Coturnix japonica: one gene and its partners. The protein of the gene in region 2 binds, or shares a complex with, the protein of the main gene of each other region. Links are inferred from orthologs where the notes say so. Each region holds a gene or a part of one and is shown on either strand. Other genes may lie near its edges.

Region 1 (4,300 bases), on a different chromosome or scaffold from region 2:
CGCCGGTACCCGCCGGTACCCGCCGATACCCGCCGATACCCGCCGGTACCCGCCGGTACCCGCCGATACCCGCCGGTACCCGCCGGTACCCGCCGCAGCTCACCGAACTCGGCCACGATGGAGGCGAGCCCGCCGTACACGAAGGGTTTCCAGTTCAGCGCGGACATGGCATGGCGGGGCGCGCCGCCGCGCCGGGCCGGACACTGCCTCAACTCCACCCGGAACCGGAAGCGCGGCGGAACGGGAAGCACTGCGCCCCCCAGCCGGGCGGACCCGGCAGCTCGGCCCGCAATTGGGATCCAGCGGCACCGCCCGAGAACGGCGGGGAGGAGACGGGAGAGCGCTGCAGGCACGGGACCGACCGGAACCACCCCGAGAGCAAAGCGCAGCTCAGATCCACTGCTGTGCGCTCCCCATTTCTGTGTCAGCTGCCATCAATGCTCAGTCCAAACAGCACAACCGGACACAAGCAGTGCTCCCAGTCATCTCCTCTGGTTAAAGGATCGATTTTTATTAAAAGGAGTTTAAAACAAAAAACGCCATGAACTGCGATGGCTCAGCAGCCTCTGATATCCATCACATAAACAAAGGAAGCAGGACGGGCTGGGGGCACAAAGCACCGTGCCCGCCTGCAAGCACCCACCGCCCCACTGCAGACAGGGACGCTCCCCCTGAACAACGTGGGCAGTTTCGGTGTCCGTATCCTGCTGCTCAGCACCCCACTGCCCACACTGTGCCGTGAGCCCCTCCACAACCGTCTGAGTGATGCCACTGCACAGAAGGGCCGAGCAAGGCAGCAGCAGAGCCCACATCACAGCCCACAGCACTGAGAGCAACCTGTCTGAGGAGTGAACCGGTCAGAGTGGTGTGTGTGAGACGAGACACAGCTGTGGTACCCTTAGGGCCATAGCAGGAGGCTTCAGACAGGCTCCCGGTGCAGCTCACAGAGCACAGCTGTGGCCCAGAAGGTGCTCACTCCAGGGCTCAGTGACGGCTGGAATCTCTGGTGGATCCACGCTCCCTGTGCTTGGAATGGGGCTCTCTGCTGCTGCTCTCCCGCCGGTGCCTGGATCTGCTTCCCTCAGAACACTCTTCTCGCCAGCTGCTGTGTCCCTCACCCTTCCTGCTGACCTCTCCTCTCTCTTCCCGTGAGCTGTTCTGCCCTCTGTGTTCCTGGGAGCTCTTTTCCCCTCTCCTCCCCGACGACCTTTGGTGTCTCTGCTCTTCCTCATCTCGCTGCGTCCTGCTCACGTGTTTCCTCTCAGACTCACTGCAGGACTGCTGACCCCCACCAGCAGCATATCGCTCGTAGCCAGGATCTTCCTTCTCCTTTTTAATCTTGATTCTCGGATGTGCCTCTTCGGCAGGTGCTGCTCTCTTTGCAGCCTGAGAGCTCTGCTTTTGCCGTTCATGTTTATTCTTCTCTTTATCTGAAACAAAAAGGTCATCCTTAGAGATGGACAGTCCTGCAAGCATCATCCCCACCAGTTCTGCTACAGAGCACCAGAGCTCTGTAGAGAAAGGCTTTATTGGAGCCTTTCTTCTCCCTGTCCCCCACTGTCCTGCCCCCTCCCCCTTGCAACATCCCTGCAGCCCAGCCCAACTCCTTTTCTCCAGGAAGAGTGCCACTATAACCTGCAAAATAAGGATCTCCAGAGGCAGGGGGTGAATGATCATAGATAAATACTGGCAGTGTGACGCAGATCACAGAGGATAAGCCTGGACATTCGGGTTGCATCTGTTTTCAAGAGGATCCCTATCCCTGCTGTACGCTGAGCTAAGAGTCCCTGTAGCCCACACAGATCCTCCCACCCAGGGCAAAGATGGGCAGAAATGCATTTCACCTTTTTGCTTTTGGGCTGGCGTGTCTTCATCCTCCAAGGAGGAATCTGACGACGTATGAGGTGGTGTTTTCACTCCGCAGCCCTTTGCATGGAGGGCTTTTGTGACATCATCTAAATCATCGGAGTCCTTGGGAGTCCGGTAGTTGGCCACGTGGTCCACTCGGATCGTCCTGCCTTTGATCTAGGACAGGAGTCAGGTAGTCAGCAAAGCGTGTGCTGTGGGGCCAGCAGCCGATGGAGCTTCTCTCTGATGTGCTCTGAGCGCTCCAGGAGCTGCTGCAGCCACACAGCTCCATCACTCACCTTGATCCCATTGAAGTTATCAACAGCAAGCACGGTGCTCCTCTGATCCTCATAGCACAAAAAGCAAAACCCTTTGGACTTCCCAGTCTTCTTATCCCGCACCAGATTAATGTTCACCACCTCCCCGTACCTGGAACACACCATCAGCAGCCACAGAGCAGGGCTGGAGGGGCACAGCAAGATGGGGATGGAGCAGGTAGGAACTTACTGCGAGAACACACAGATGACGTCCCCCTCTGTCAGCTGGTAGGGCAGCCCGCCTGCGGGGGGAGACAGGGCAGCGATGGAGGCCCAGCACGGAGCCCAGCACGGAGCCCAGCATGGAGCCCAGCACGGAGCCCAGCACAGGGCCTACCACAGCCCTGCTCTCTCCTCCCTCCCCGTCCCCCCATCGCGGCCTACACGTACCGATGAAGACCCACGCGCTGTCCTTGTACTCGGCGTGCCACGACACCGCCTCGCTCACGCCCAGCTCCGCCTCCCGCGCGTTCAGCTCGTTGATCAGCTTCACTTTGGTCAGCGGGCTGGGGGCGATGCACTCCGTTAGCACCGTTAGCACCGGCCGGTCGCACACCCCCCCCTCACCCAGCCCCCATCCAAACCTACTTCATGGCGGCGGCGGCGCGCACTGCGCATGCGCCCCCCTTACCCCCCCGCCTCCGCCCCCGCCCCGGCCGCGCATGCGCGCCAAGCAAAGCAACGAGTCCGAGGGCTCCGCACAGCTTTATTGGTCGGCGCTCAGCACGGACACGCGCTTTTACCGTGGGCGTCACGTGACGGCTCTAGCTTCTGCGCCCGGCCCGGCCGCTTCTCCATGTCGCGATAGAGCAGCGACTTCTGCGCCTTGAGCCGGCAGGCCAGGCACATGAAGATGGACTCCACGTTCTGGCTCTCTTTAGGGTCCTTGGCCGAGGTTTCGAACAACAGCATGTTGTGAGCGTCGGCGAATTTGAGAGCCATGCCGGACGGCACCTGGATCAGGTCCTTCAAGTCACACTTGTTCCCCACCAGCACTTTGGGGACCAGGGGGGACACGGCGTGAACGTTGCACTCCTCGATCCACATCTTGAGGTTGGTGAAGGACGCCATCTTGGTGACGTCGTACACGAAGACCACGGCGTGCACGTTGCGGTAGTAGTGCTCCACCATGCTCTTCCGGAACCGCTCCTGCCCGGCCGTGTCCCACACCTGCACCTATGGGGCACAACACGGCGTGAGCAGCCATTGCTGCTGCAGGATGCTGTGCTGCTGCTCTGCTCATTGCTGTGCTACAGGGGTGAAAGGCCCCAGCCCGGTGACTTACCTGCCCCATGTTGGTGTACCCAGCCATCATCCCTGTCAAACTGCACACAGCACTGCTCGTGTCAGAACAGACTAACACACCAACCCACCTAATGCTGTGCTGTATGAGGACACTGAAATGATGCTCTGTATCCACAAAGGAGGCAGGGCAAAGAGAGCGGCGTTCCTGCATGGAGCTCTGTCTGGGGGAGGAACCAGGCAAACAATAAGGATTAAAGAGCCGAGAGCCATGGAGACAGGGCAGTGTGCAGCTCCAGCCTGATCAGGGAGAGTAAATGGAAGGTGCCCTCTGCAGACAGATGGGAGTCTCATGTTTGCAGGCTTAGGCCCTTCTGGAGGCCTTCAGCCATTCCAGTGTATGCTGGAGGGGCAACACAGCACAGCTTAAAGCGTGAGATTCCAACTTCAAAACTCAAGTGATAGAAGAGCCAGCGAGGGAAGCTGCTACGCTGGGCCAGCTTCAGCAGGGCAGCTGTGAAGGTAAAGCCAACTCATTAACCAAGAGGTGGCTCTGAAAGAGTCCTGTGGGTCAAGGACCTATAGGAAAATGGGACCAAAGAAAGCTACCCAATACTGATGTGCCTCCACCTCTGAGCTGCCCATGTGAACAAAGAGGAAGTCAAGCAAAAATACCAAGAGGTACAAAGAGGAAGTACAGGGAAGGTGGAAGGTGAGACAAGTGACTTGAGAGGAGTACAGACACAATGTCAGAGCACACGGGGAGGTGGTTTAGAAAGAAATACAGCTGGCACTATATGTGACAAGAGATGTTAAAGGCACCAGGAATGGCTTTTCCAAGTCTATAGGGGACAAAAAGAAGGCTAGGGACACATGAATATAGCTTCTGACAC
Region 2 (4,146 bases):
CATCACAGTAAAAAGGAGGCGGTGTAGAATAGAGACAAAAGAGTTCGTGCCTAAATTTGGATAGGAGACACAATGCACTAAAAAGGATATATCTTTCATAAATGGTACGTGCCCTATCCACTTCCTTGTATCTCAGCTCGAAGTTAATGTAGGAATGCCAAGCTTGCTCCTCCGGTTGCCATTCCATCCAGCGTTCAAACACCTGACGTGATCCAGCAACATTCCCCAGCATCTCTTCCATGTAAGTGTACTTGTACCTTAGGAAACAAGATCTAGTGTTTACAATCATACAAATTACAAGGATTTTTCAAGTGTTTATTAAGAGCATCACTGGCACTTCTACCACCTGTTCCCCACTTCCTACATACTGTTGTGACTGGCAACAAGCACATACACAAACATCCTTCTCTTTAATAGCCTTACCACTCCAAAACTACATGACCTTTCAAAAATTAAGCTTATACATCCTTGGGGATCAGCCTAAAGAACTGCAGAAAGAGAATACAATACACTTTTGCATTATATAGAGATATAAAAATGATCCGTACTCTCTGAGGTAAAAGCAACGCTCCATTCTCTGTAGACATACCAGAATTGGTTCACCCTGGGCAGGGTGGTAATAGCTCGATCCCAAATGTTTCGGGCGTGATTAACCTGGCGGTTCTTCATTTCCATTTCTGCATATTTCAGCCAAAGGGTGACATTTCTGTAGTCCACATCTAAAGCACGCTCGTAAATGGAACGGGCTCTGGAAAGCAAAGAGAAGCTGTGTTTATAACGTGCCTCCAAAACACTGACAGTGTTTGTCAGACTGAGTCGTAAAAGGTTTACAAGAGTTCTACAGCTATAACACGATTACCTCTGTATTTCTTTTAAGCTTTCTTCCCATTGTGCGTACTTTATCCAGTTACTGATAACAGTTCTGTTTTTTCTTATGTTATCTTCAAAAGTCTGAGGAGAAAGTTATATCTGTAAGTTAAAACATCCTTGGTGCTGACTAATCTTTTCATAAGCGATTTACAGATTATTATTATTATTAGAATAATTATGTGTTACATGTGGTAGCAACAATGACCATTCAATACAACACTTAGAGCAGCTAGAAATGTTGGTTGTCACACAGATAAGGACTACATTCGAGTTCCTGCAAGTGGATACCTGGAATGGTGATGGGATAATAACCAACTATACTAAAGCTACCTGTTTATTATTTGTTCCATCCTGATCAGCTGTTTCAATAGCAATAGCTGGAACCCAATCATTGCACAATCCTGAATATATCTGGATGCATCAGTGTACGTGCAACACTCTATCGCTTTCTTTAAGGCAAGACACCTTATGTTTATTCCCTGGATTTAATATTATGGCTTCAAATCTCCCAGGCAACTTTCACAGTTCAGTGCAATGGTGACAGTATCCCCAGTGTTGAGTTTGGCTACTGTCAGGATCAATGCTATCAATACATAAATCACAGTCAAACATGGTTTAACACAGTTAACACGCAGTGGCTTGTAACTGCCATCCATACGAGTAATTCTAGTCAAAAACATTTCAACTTCACTGCTAAGAATACACTTGCTTTACTTTCTTTTCATCCAGGACGGAAATTATTGAAGAAAAATGCATGTAATTACCTATGCTACGCTCCAAACACAGAATGCAGAGATCTGATATCATGTATATTACCAAATCCTGTTAAACAACACTCTTTTATAACTTACTTTTTGAATGAAAATAACACATTTTCTATAAAGAGAGTTGTTTTAAGAATTATTAACCTAAAAACTAAACAAGTAATAACACAAAGAACTATTTGTCTCAATATTAGAAAGTATTGAATTTTAGCACTTTATAGAAATGTAAAACTTGTTATTTTTCCCCCTTTACCTTCCTTTTCCTTAGCTTATAGTCATTTAGCTCTTCAACATCTGTGATCTTCTGCTGAGGAGGTGGTGGAAGAAGTTCAAGTTCTCTCTCCTTTGCTTCTCTTAAAAGCTGCTCTGCTGTGATCTGAACTTCTGCGGGCGCTTTGTTTTTCACCTGTAAATCAATGGCACTTAGTTTGTTATCCCTTCCCAATGCAAAACTAAAAAACCCCATCAAGAAGAGTTTGGTCCAGGGCCTTCTGCTGAAGAATGACTTGGAGGCCCCTGAGAGAAAGGATGGGCATCACTGCCACTGCCCAGCAGATGGGGAGCAGGGAGCTCACTAAGAATCATAGAATCATTAAGGTTGGAAGAGAGACCCCACCACTCCTGTGCAGCTGTGCCACTGCATCACTGCTCTGTGGAGAAGGAATTGTTCCTAACAGCCAACATGAACCTCCCCTGGCACAACGTGAGGCCATCCCCTCTCGTCCCATGGCTGTTCCCTGGGGGCAGAGGCCGACCCCACCTCACACAGCCTCCTGTCAGGTGGCTGCACAGAGCCATGATGTCTCCCTTGATCCTCCTCTCCCCCACACTGCACACCCCGGTTCCCTCAGCCGCTCCCCATCACACTCGTGCTCCAGACCCCTCACAGCTCCGCTGCCCTTCTCTGGACACGCTCCAGGCCCTCAGTGGGGACTTTCCGTCCCACTAGGCCGCTCCAGGACCCGTAGCCGCCCAGAGAAGCGCATCCAGCCGCTCCGACCACCCTCTCCCCACCACCCCCTCACAACCCCGCCTCACCCAGACATCGACCGCCACACACCTTGGCCACTTTGGGGATGCGCTGCTTTCCGGCCGCCGTAGACGCCATCTTGCCGTCTCTCCGCTCCAGCTCCGCCCCTCAACCTTTCACCTCACGTAGCGCCGTGGTTGCCGCAGTAACGGTGCTGCGTCCCGGTAGAGGCGGTGCGGAGCTTGGGGCAGCTCAGCGCCGCGTATGGTCGCTCCGCGTTACCGGGTAGCGGAGCGGTGAGTGCCCGGTGCGGCCTGCAGCCCCTCAGGCCCCTCGCATCCTCCGGCCGCCGCGCTTTCCTCTTAGCCCGTGAATGGCGCCCCCTTGCGGCTCGGAGGTCAGGGCGGGAGGCGCGGCGCTGAGGGACACGGACGAGGCGCTGTGGGGACGGGCTGCCGGTTGGAGCCGTTATCTTATCCATCCTTAATGATTCTGCCATTCTGTGACCAGCAATGTTTCCCTTCTTTTATTAGTTGCAGTTCCCGACATGACGACGATCACCTCGTTGAGTGGACGTAAAGAGGTGGTCCGCACCAGAAGGACGGAGGCAAACGATGCTCCTGGTGTTGTTGGCCTCTTCACCCATCTTACAGAAGACATCTATGGCAGGATTGATGTAGAATACCTTTTGTAAGTAATAGCAGTGCTTTTGGTCTTGCTGTTCTTGCAGGGAACTTCAAGGAATTCCTTTCTGTTTAAGATGCCAGAAAACATTATAAGCTTTAACATACAGTGGAGAAGATTTGGCTTCACACAACTTCATCTTTATTAAAGTTAGGATGGAACATTCTTGGCTGATATCAGGTGAAAACAGGAGGATCCTGCACCAGCTGTCAGCACCTGGCTCCATCTAATGGATTCCTTTTTGTCCACTGCAGAGTGCTGCAATTAGAGAGACATGGATTAGGGGGTTTAATCGCCGTATGGTCTCAGTTGTTCCACTTTCTTTTCTTGTGTACGTCTAAATCTTTGTCTTTTTTTTTCCTTAATGGAAGGGAACCTTTCCTACCTGCCAGCTGCCAATAGGTGGATGGAAGATATTATGTATCTTGTCTCCTAGATGCTCCCATGGCAAATCCTTCAGAGAAGTGGCTGATGGCAGAAGCCTTCTGTTATTGGAGTTAATGCAGAAAGTGTTGGTCATTTCATCTTTCTGTGATGAATGACAGATAGAGACAAACGGTGTGAAATACCACTAGGCCACATGGGCTTTTTCCACTTGTCCAAATACCTCAGATACCAACTATCTGGGGAAAAACAGATGTGTGAAGAGAAATATGAAGAAGACGAAACACATACTGAATATGTAGTCATTCAGGATTTGAAAAACCCATATGAGCTATTATCATAACAGAATCAAATAAATAATTGTTTGGAATTGAAATAGTAATGTCAAGGTAGGATGTGGGTAATGAAGTTTGATTGAGCCCTGACCCTTGGAGCACTTTTATTAGGATGGTGACATTCTAACAAGCTGAGTTA
Region 3 (4,046 bases), on a different chromosome or scaffold from region 2:
ATGCAATGGGGATGCAATGGGGATCAGTGGGGGACTCTATAGGGGCTCTGGGGATGCAATTGGGGGCTCCATAGGGCTCTGGGGATGCAATGGGGATCAGTGGGGGGCCCTGGGGATGCAATGGGGGGCTCTATGGGGGCTCTGGGGATAGAAAGAGGATCAGTGGGGGACTCTATAGGGACTCTGGGTATACAATGGGGATCAATGGGGGACTCCATAGGGCACTGTGGATGCAATGGGGGGCTCTATAGGGCCCTGGGGATGCAATGGGGGACTCTATAGGGGCTCTGGGGATGCAATGGGGACCAGTGGGGGGCACTGGGGATGCAATGGGGGACTCTATAGGGGCTCTGAGGATTCAATAGGGATCAGTGGGGGACTCTATAGGGGCAGTGGGGATCAATAGGGATCAATGGGATCAATAGGGATCAATAGGGATCAATAGGGATCAATGGGGAGCAATAGGGATCAATGGGGGACTCTATAGGGGCTCTGAGGATTCAATAGGGATCAGTGGGGGCTCTATAGGACCCTGGCTATACAAGGGGATCATTGTGTTGCTCTATGTGGGGCCAAACATGGTCCCCCCCCCGTCCTCTCTCACCTGTCCGTGCTCCGCCCTGAGGCCTCATTGGGGGCGGTGAGGCCGGAGGCCGCGGATCCACTGGGCCGAGCGGCGGCGGGAGGAAGGGGCGGCCTACCCGGAGGTGTTTACTGACACGGAGCTGCTGGTAGGAACACAGGCTGTACTGGAAGGACGAGCTGAAGAGCCCCGAGCGGGGCACACGGGCCGAGGACAGCGGGATTTGGTACCAGCGGAGCAGCCCCGCCCGCTGACCTCGTCGCGCCGACGTCCCGCGCAACATGGCGGCCATGGGCGGGCGGGGTGAGAGAAAAGGGCGGGCTCTCCTCAGAAAGGCGGCGCTACCAAGTGCGGCTACTAACGGCGGGATTGGCCGTTTAACTGCCGACAGGAGCCCGGCAGCCAATCGCGGCTCGAGGGTTCGACCAATCAGCGCGCGCGCTGAACGGGATTGGTTAAAGAAGAGAAGTGTCCCGCCCACCTGTGCTCTCAGCCAATCAGAAGGGGTGGAGAGTGTCCCCGCCCCCCACCTCCCGCGGTGCATGCTGGGAGCTGCAGTCAACGGGCCTCTGCCGCGGTGCATGCTGGGAGCTGCAGTCAACGGGCCCCTGCCGTGGTGCATGCTGGGAGGCCTTGTGCGGAACCTCTTCCGGGATCGGGCTGTTTCCGCTTCCGTTGTTTCCGCTTCCGCCGGAAGTTCAGCTCCAGGGCCTGTTCCCGTGCACGGCGGTGGCGGGGCGGCAACATGGCGGACGTGACCGCTCGCAGCCTGCAGTACGAGTACAAGGCGGTGAGTGCCGGCTCGGGGCCTGTGCGCGGTGGGGATGCCGGCCTCATTCCTCCGGGCCTTCCCCGTCTAACGGGGGCCAATATGGCGGATCTCGTATAGTGAGGCCTTGTCGGGCCTTGTGTGGCCTGTGGTGATTTAAACCGGGCCTGTTTGAAGCCGGGGGCTTTAAGAGATGGTTGGAGGTGCGGCCTGCGTCCCTTATGGGCGGTGGGGGCTGCTGGATATAGGGCTGTGGGGAGGATAATAGGGGCTATGGGAGGATATAGGGCTGTGGGGTGGGGGTAATAGGGGCTGTAAGAAGGATATAGGGCTGTGGGGAGGATATAGGGGCTGTAGGATGCTTATAGGGCTGTAGGATGCTTATAGGGCTGTAGGATGCTTATAGGGCTGTGGAGGGATATAGGGCTGTGGGGAGAATACTGGGGTATGGGAAGGGTAATAAGGGCTGTGGGGAGGGTATTGGGCTGTAGGAAGAAAAATAAGGACTGTGGGAGGATATAGGGCTGTAGGAAGGATATTGGGGTATAGGAAGGGTAATAAGGGTTATGGGAGGAATGTAGGGCTGTGAGAAGGATGTTGGGCTGTGGGGAGGGATATAGGGCTGTGGGGTGGATATTGGGGTATGGGAAGGGTAATAGGGGCTGTGGGGAGGATATAGGGGCTGTAGGATGGCTATAGGGCTGTGGGGGGGTAATAAGGGCCGTGGGGAGGATATAGGGCTGTGGAAGGATATAGGGCTGTGGGGGGGAAAATAAGGGTTGTAGGATGGATATAGGGCTGTGGGGGGGTGATAAAGGCTGTGGGGAGGGTATTGGGGTATGGGAAGGATAATAAGGGCTGTGGGGATGATATAGGACTGTAGGAAGGATATAGGGCTGTGGGGAGGATAATAAGGGCTGTGGGAGGATATAGGGCTGTGGGAGGGATATTGGGCTGTGGGGAAGGTAATAAGGGTTCTAGGAAAGATATAGGGCTGTGGGGAGGATAATAGGGGCTGTGGGAGGGATATAGGGCTGTGTAATAAGGCTGTAGGAACATAAAGGCTCCACCTGATGCATTGTGACCCCCATCCCCCCCCCAGAACTCCAACCTCGTGCTCCAAGCTGACCGTTCTCTCATTGACCGGACGCGACGCGATGAACCCACGGGTGAAGTGTTGTCCCTGGTGGGTAAATTGGAAGGGACGCGGATGGGAGACAAGGCGCAGCGCACCAAGCCACAGATGCAGGAGGAGCGACGGGCCAAGTGAGAGCTGAGCGGGGCCTGGGGGTGGGAGGGGGCTCTGAGGGGGCTGTGGGGCTTCAGTGGTTATAAGCAATGTGGAATCACACAGTGATGGAGGTTGGGAAAGAGCTGTGAGGTGATGGATCCCAATTGGTGCATACACCACTGAGTGGTGGCATTGAGTGGTGGTATCGTGTTGGTGTATGGTCAGATACCAACATATATGGTTGTTATATGTGGTTGAGTTGTGGGTCCTCAGAGCCCCCCCAGGTTCATCTCCTGCCCTGGTGCCCCCCTCCAGCTTATACCCAACACAACTTCAGTCGCCTTTGGCACCTCCAGGGTTGGGGCACCCACAGCTCCTCTGTTCCACCACCCTCATAGTGAAGAAGGTGACCCTAAATCTCCCCTCTTTTACCCCAAAGCCGTTCCCATATCCATCAGCCCATCCCCAAGCACCACATACACACACCTTTTGATCCTTCAGCATCCTTCACAGCTTTCCCAATGTAGAAATACTTCCCCTCGACCAAAACTTCCCCAATTCAACCCAGGGCTGGGGTCTCTTGTGATGCTGTGGGATAAAAGATCAACCCCCCCTCACTGCTGTGTCCTCCTTTGAGGCAGATATGGAGTTTCTCCTTTTCTCTCCAGGCTAAATAACCCCATTCCCTAAGCTGCTCATTGTAAACTGGCTCCAGACCCTTTGCAGCTTCATTCTCTCTCCTTGTCGGGAAGCGAAAAGTGAAAGGAAAAGGGCTAAAAAGGAGGAAAAACGGGGCAGAGTTTACCTTTATTTTTAACAAAGGGAAGGCCCACGCTTTGCTGTCCAGCATTACTGGGATTCCCTGCTTTGAGCTGCTATGGGTGCTCTCTGTTTGCAGGAGGAGGAAGCGCGATGAGGACAGACACGACATCAACAAGATGAAGGGTTACACTCTGCTGTCCGAGGGCATCGACGAGATGGTGGGGATCATCTACAAGCCTAAAACCAAAGAGACACGGGAGACCTACGAGGTGTTGCTGAGCTTCATCCAGGCTGCCCTCGGGGACCAGGTGAGGAGCTGGATGTGTGTGATGGGGGCACATCCATATCACAAGGGGGATAATATCTGTGCCATAATATCTGCCCCTATGGTGATCTCCTGCTTATGTGGCTGCTGGTTGTTCCCCAGCCACGAGACATTCTGTGTGGAGCTGCTGATGAAGTGCTGGCAGTGCTGAAGAACGAGAAGCTGCGTGATAAGGAGAGACGTAAAGAGATCGATCTGCTGCTGGGCCAGACTGACGACACCCGTTATCACGTGCTGGTGAACCTGGGCAAGAAGATCACGGATTATGGTGGTGACAAGGAGATCCAGAACATGGGTATGGACAGATTATGGTGACAAGAAGATTTAGAACATGGGTATGGGCACAGATTGTGATAGTGACAATGAGATTCAGATC
Region 4 (4,294 bases), on a different chromosome or scaffold from region 2:
AAGATGATATTGATAAGTAATGCATTAATACCACAGTAGTATAAAACTCCTAAGTGCTTTCACACTTAACAATAATACCAAATTAAAGAAGTGTTGTTACTACAGTATTAGAAACATTTGTTTTGATGTTTTCTCAGGCAGCGATCCCTCCCACAAACTTCAGATTTGCATTACAATTACAGCTGTTGGACTGAAGGCCCAGAAAGGTCACACAGGTTCAGTCGCCAGCTAAAGATGTTTACCCTATCTGAAATTCTGAACCAGAACTAGAGCACAGCTACTGTGCATGTGTAACCTCACTCAGAATCTGAAGACCCTGACCAAGAGATGAGATGTGCTACTATCAGTAATACTAGTGACTACATTTACAGACCTTTGCCAGTTCAGGTAAAATGTACATAACTCACATTTCTGCTCCTCAGTTTGACACACAAATCCATAGAATGCTTTGGGACCTTATATATCACCCAGTTCCAACCCCCTGTCATGGGCAGGGTTACCTCTCACTAGACTGGGTTATCCAAAGCCCCATCCAGCCTGGCCTTAAGCACTCACAGGGATGACGCATCCATAGCTTTTGCAGGCCATCTGTTCATTGCCTTATCACTTTCTGAGTTAAGAATTTCTTCCTAATGTCTAACTTAAATCTACTGTACAAAATACCCCTATCTTTTATCACTCCCTGACAAAGAGTCCTTCTTCAGCTTTCCTGTAGGTCCCCTTTAGGTACTGGAAGACCATTGTATGGCCTCTGCAGACTCCTCTCTTCTCCAAGCTGAACAAGTCCAGCTCCCTTAACCATTCTTCACAGATGTGCTCCTGCCCTCTGATCACCTTTGTGGCATCCTCTGGGCCTGCTTCCTATGTTCCTTCTTGTGCTGGAGACTCTAGACCTGCATGAAATAGTTTAGATGGGGCCTCATGAGGGCAGAGCAGAGGACAGCCATGTCCCCCTTTCAGTGAAGCCCAGGATACAGTCAGCCTTCTGGGCTGCATTTCCCACTGTGGGCTCACACTGAGTTTCTCATCAACCAGCACCCCTCACAGCTGCTCTCAATCCATTCTCTGCTCAGCCTGTACTTGTGCTTAGGATTGTCCCGATATAGGAGCAGGACACTGCACTTGTTCTTGTTTAACTTTATGAAGTTAAAACACTTGCTCTGAACAGTTTTCTCTCCTAGTTTTATCTTGTTGAAGTGAACATTAATAGGGTTATACGTTTATCACAGAACTGAAACAGACAGATTTAAGAACACTCAATTCTAAAATGCACATTCAAAAATATTGAAGCATGTGCAAATTTAGAATATGAATGAACTTTAGCATAAAATATAGAATAAACTGCATTCCTTATACAAAATTTGTTTACTCAAAAAATTCACACACAGTAGCAAGGACAACTGCCAGAGACTAAGCAAACATCAACATGCACAAGATATACAGCTACATACCTTGAAGGGAGCTCCATAGATTGAATCTCCACCTGACCCAGTACCAGTGGGATCACCTCCCTGCACTATAAAACCTGGCACAACTCTGTGAAATATTGTATTATTGTAATACTCTAAAAAAGAAAGAGAAAATACATTAAATACATTTAAGTTATCTAAAATCACACCTCAATAGAGATTATGCAGACATATCAGTGACTCATGAAGAAATGAACATGCAGTAAGCACATGATACAGGAATGACCTTAACAGGAGAAGTCCAAACACAGCATCACTGACATTTTCTACGTTCATTAAAGCTGCAATACTTTGTATAAACTTCCTGAAGACAAGCCTTCCTAAACATGTGACAACTCCTACATCTAAGAAAACCACCAAAAAATTGTACTTTTCACATCCATTGGTTTCCTTAATGACTTTAAAAAAACGTTCTTGGTCTGGATAGCAGATAATATAAATAATTAGTTAACATATTAAAACTTACTTATGACCTACCTTTTCCATAACTGTCACCAAAATACCAATATTGCACATGAAATAATTCTAACAAGTCCTACCCCATTTTGCCATTACCTTCCATACAAAGCTGGATAAAATTTCGACATGCTTTTGGTGCTTCTTTTGACCACAATTCTATATCGATATCTCCTGCTGTAGTTCTCAGCAAGACCTGCAAAATTTTTATAAACAAACCATTAGTTTTATTGCAACTTAGACACTAATAAACAAATATTACTACTAAGTTAAAAAACACTCCTAAATTCATAACATTAACAACAGCCGTAGATAAGTAGTAAGCAGGAGTCGGACTTGTTCTGGAGAAGGCTCCTGGGAGACCTCACTACAGCCTTCCAGTATTTAAAGTAAGGATATAAACAAGAAGGAAACCAATTTTTTACATGCGTAGTTAGTGACAGGACAAGGGCGGATGGTTTTAAAGTGGAAGAGAGAAGATTTAGATTGGCTGAGTGGCAAAAGTTATTTACTCAGAGGGTGGTGAGGCACTGCCCAGAGAAGCAGTGGGTGCTCCATCCCTGGAGGAGTCAAGGCCATGCTGGATGGGGCGCTGGGCAGCCTGAGCTGGTGGGGGATGACAACTAACGGAGGGTAGAATATTAAATACTCTTAGTATTTCCACAGTGAGACAACACAGAAAAGGAATATGCCTTAAACCTCTAGCGGCACGCTCTTATTACAAGAGACATCAATACAGATCAATAAATGCGAATTCCTATCAAAGCGGTAAACATAAGCGTCCGAGAGCGATAACACCGGACTCGTGCCCCTCGCCCTCGCTGCCCGCAGGATCCTCACCTTGCCGTTGGTGGGGGGCTCCTGGATGTAGATGTTGCTCATGCTGAGGAAGGGGTGTCGTGGCGGAACGCACCGCCCGAGCCCAACGCTAACAACACTGCCTCTCTACCCGCGCTACTGCCCGCAGCCCGCCGCCATCTTGGGCGCCTCTACACAGTACAATGTGGCGGGGGGAAGGTGTGACTGCTCAGAGCTGTGGGAGAAAGAATTGCTCCTCCGATGGGGGAATCACTCAGTGAATTCTTTCCGAAAGGATGTGAAGGCTTTTCCAGACACCTCCGCTCGCTTCTCGTCGCCCCGGCTCGGTACTGAGCACCCCGTCCTCCCCGCGAGTGGCGCGGCCCGAGAGTGCTCCGGCCAAATCCTTCCGGCGGGGACAGGCGCTGCGTTGTTCCTGGGCCCGGCTGTGTGGAGGACGCCATGGCTCTGCCGGGTGAGGAGAGCCGCGGGGCTGCGGGGCGGATGGCTGGGAGGCGTGCGGAGGGGGAGGGTCGGCAGCGCTGTTCGTGAGGTGGTGGGGCCCGAGGAGCGGCTTGCGGTGCGTTTCCCAGCCTGCAGAGCTGCAATGGTACGGCGGGGCTGGGGGCTCCAGCAGCCCTCCTGCGCTCCGTATGCGGCCCTCGCCTGTAGTTTTGTGGGTGCTGAGGCCCACGGCTGCGCTCCTGCCTTCTGCAGGTGTACGCTGCCTTCCTTAGGGGTCCCAAGAATGGCATCGTTCCGCATGTTTTTTTTCTCCTTGTGCCCCAGATTAGCGCCTGCCTGCAGCTAGGTTGTTTAAATGAAGGGTTTAAGAGCAGTGGTGCAGCCAGCGCGGGCAGAAATTGTGTATTTCACCAGGTATTCAGCCTGTGTCATCCTGAGGTATGGGTTTGACTGGAGAAAATTGAGTAAGCTTGAACCTTGCTGTGAGTTCAACAGCAAACCATGGGACTTCAAGGCTCCTCTGGTTCTTTTAGTAGGATTTACTAAAGATGGTACTTCTCTTAATAAATCAAAATTTAAACTCGTGATGCTGATGTACCCCCTTTCTGGTTCCCTAATTTCATAGTTTTCTTCTTATGTTAGGTTGATTATTTAAATAAAGGAACTAGTTTTATGGAAAGCTGTGTATACAACTGTTTAATTTTCCATATTTTTCATACTGGATAGAAAGATACCCTTTGATTTTGGAAATGCTGTTTTGCTTAGAATTATGAATTGACTCAGCAATCCTTTTGTGGGCAACAGGTCTCCAGGCTTTGTCTTGTGAGTTAGATCTTGCTGATCTTCTTAACTGAGGGCGTAGGCACAAAGAGCAACTTTGCCTAAATCCAGAAGAGTTACTAAGCCAGATTTAAAGGGAACTTTTAAGACTTATGTTTAGTAACAAGTGATTGATGAAATTTTCTGTTTCAGGTGCAAATAAGGATAACATCAGAGCAGGATGCAAGAAATGTGGCTACCGTAAGTCTATATAGTAAGCAATATGAGACTACAGTGTTGTTTTGGTTTTTTTTCCCCCTCAATTTATGATGATGGAACTATTTTTG

What was found.
Region 1: CRNKL1 (region 2) and RBMX2 share a complex: the UniProt entries of both Homo sapiens proteins name them as parts of the minor spliceosome. The link is inferred for Coturnix japonica from reciprocal best matches to the Homo sapiens genes CRNKL1 and RBMX2.
Region 3: CRNKL1 (region 2) and SNRNP200 share a complex: the UniProt entries of both Homo sapiens proteins name them as parts of the minor spliceosome. The link is inferred for Coturnix japonica from reciprocal best matches to the Homo sapiens genes CRNKL1 and SNRNP200.
Region 4: CRNKL1 (region 2) and spliceosome-associated protein CWC27 homolog share a complex: the UniProt entries of both Homo sapiens proteins name them as parts of the minor spliceosome. The link is inferred for Coturnix japonica from reciprocal best matches to the Homo sapiens genes CRNKL1 and CWC27.

The regions. Positions count from the first base shown.
Region 1 is NC_029519.1:1,522,338-1,526,637, forward strand, and holds RBMX2 (RNA-binding motif protein, X-linked 2), read right to left. Parts: upstream 2,808-4,300; 5' UTR 2,759-2,807; coding exon 2,754-2,758; intron 2,672-2,753; coding exon 2,556-2,671; intron 2,408-2,555; coding exon 2,356-2,407; intron 2,278-2,355; coding exon 2,148-2,277; intron 2,026-2,147; coding exon 1,845-2,025; intron 1,431-1,844; coding exon 985-1,430; 3' UTR 477-984; downstream 1-476. Other genes in the region: SLC25A14 (brain mitochondrial carrier protein 1), read right to left, coding at 104-167; RAB33A (ras-related protein Rab-33A), read right to left, coding at 2,886-3,341. UniProt on the Homo sapiens protein: Involved in pre-mRNA splicing as component of the activated spliceosome. As a component of the minor spliceosome, involved in the splicing of U12-type introns in pre-mRNAs.
Region 2 is NC_029518.1:3,888,542-3,892,687, forward strand, and holds the start of CRNKL1 (crooked neck-like protein 1), read right to left. Parts: upstream 2,805-4,146; 5' UTR 2,743-2,804; coding exon 2,695-2,742; intron 2,041-2,694; coding exon 1,888-2,040; intron 952-1,887; coding exon 860-951; intron 749-859; coding exon 590-748; intron 258-589; coding exon 91-257; intron 1-90. Other genes in the region: CFAP61 (cilia- and flagella-associated protein 61), read left to right, coding at 3,152-3,294. UniProt on the Homo sapiens protein: Involved in pre-mRNA splicing process. As a component of the minor spliceosome, involved in the splicing of U12-type introns in pre-mRNAs.
Region 3 is NC_029537.1:1,058,104-1,062,149, reverse strand, and holds the start of SNRNP200 (U5 small nuclear ribonucleoprotein 200 kDa helicase), read left to right. Parts: upstream 1-1,239; 5' UTR 1,240-1,328; coding exon 1,329-1,373; intron 1,374-2,454; coding exon 2,455-2,618; intron 2,619-3,481; coding exon 3,482-3,653; intron 3,654-3,772; coding exon 3,773-3,965; intron 3,966-4,046. Other genes in the region: protein FAM178B, read right to left, coding at 605-875. UniProt on the Homo sapiens protein: Catalyzes the ATP-dependent unwinding of U4/U6 RNA duplices, an essential step in the assembly of a catalytically active spliceosome. Plays a role in pre-mRNA splicing as a core component of precatalytic, catalytic and postcatalytic spliceosomal complexes.
Region 4 is NC_029547.1:21,417,249-21,421,542, reverse strand, and holds the start of spliceosome-associated protein CWC27 homolog, read right to left. Parts: upstream 2,808-4,294; coding exon 2,766-2,807; intron 2,122-2,765; coding exon 2,025-2,121; intron 1,565-2,024; coding exon 1,452-1,564; intron 1-1,451. Other genes in the region: protein SREK1IP1, read left to right, coding at 2,797-3,198, 4,161-4,221. UniProt on the Homo sapiens protein: As part of the spliceosome, plays a role in pre-mRNA splicing. Probable inactive PPIase with no peptidyl-prolyl cis-trans isomerase activity. As a component of the minor spliceosome, involved in the splicing of U12-type introns in pre-mRNAs.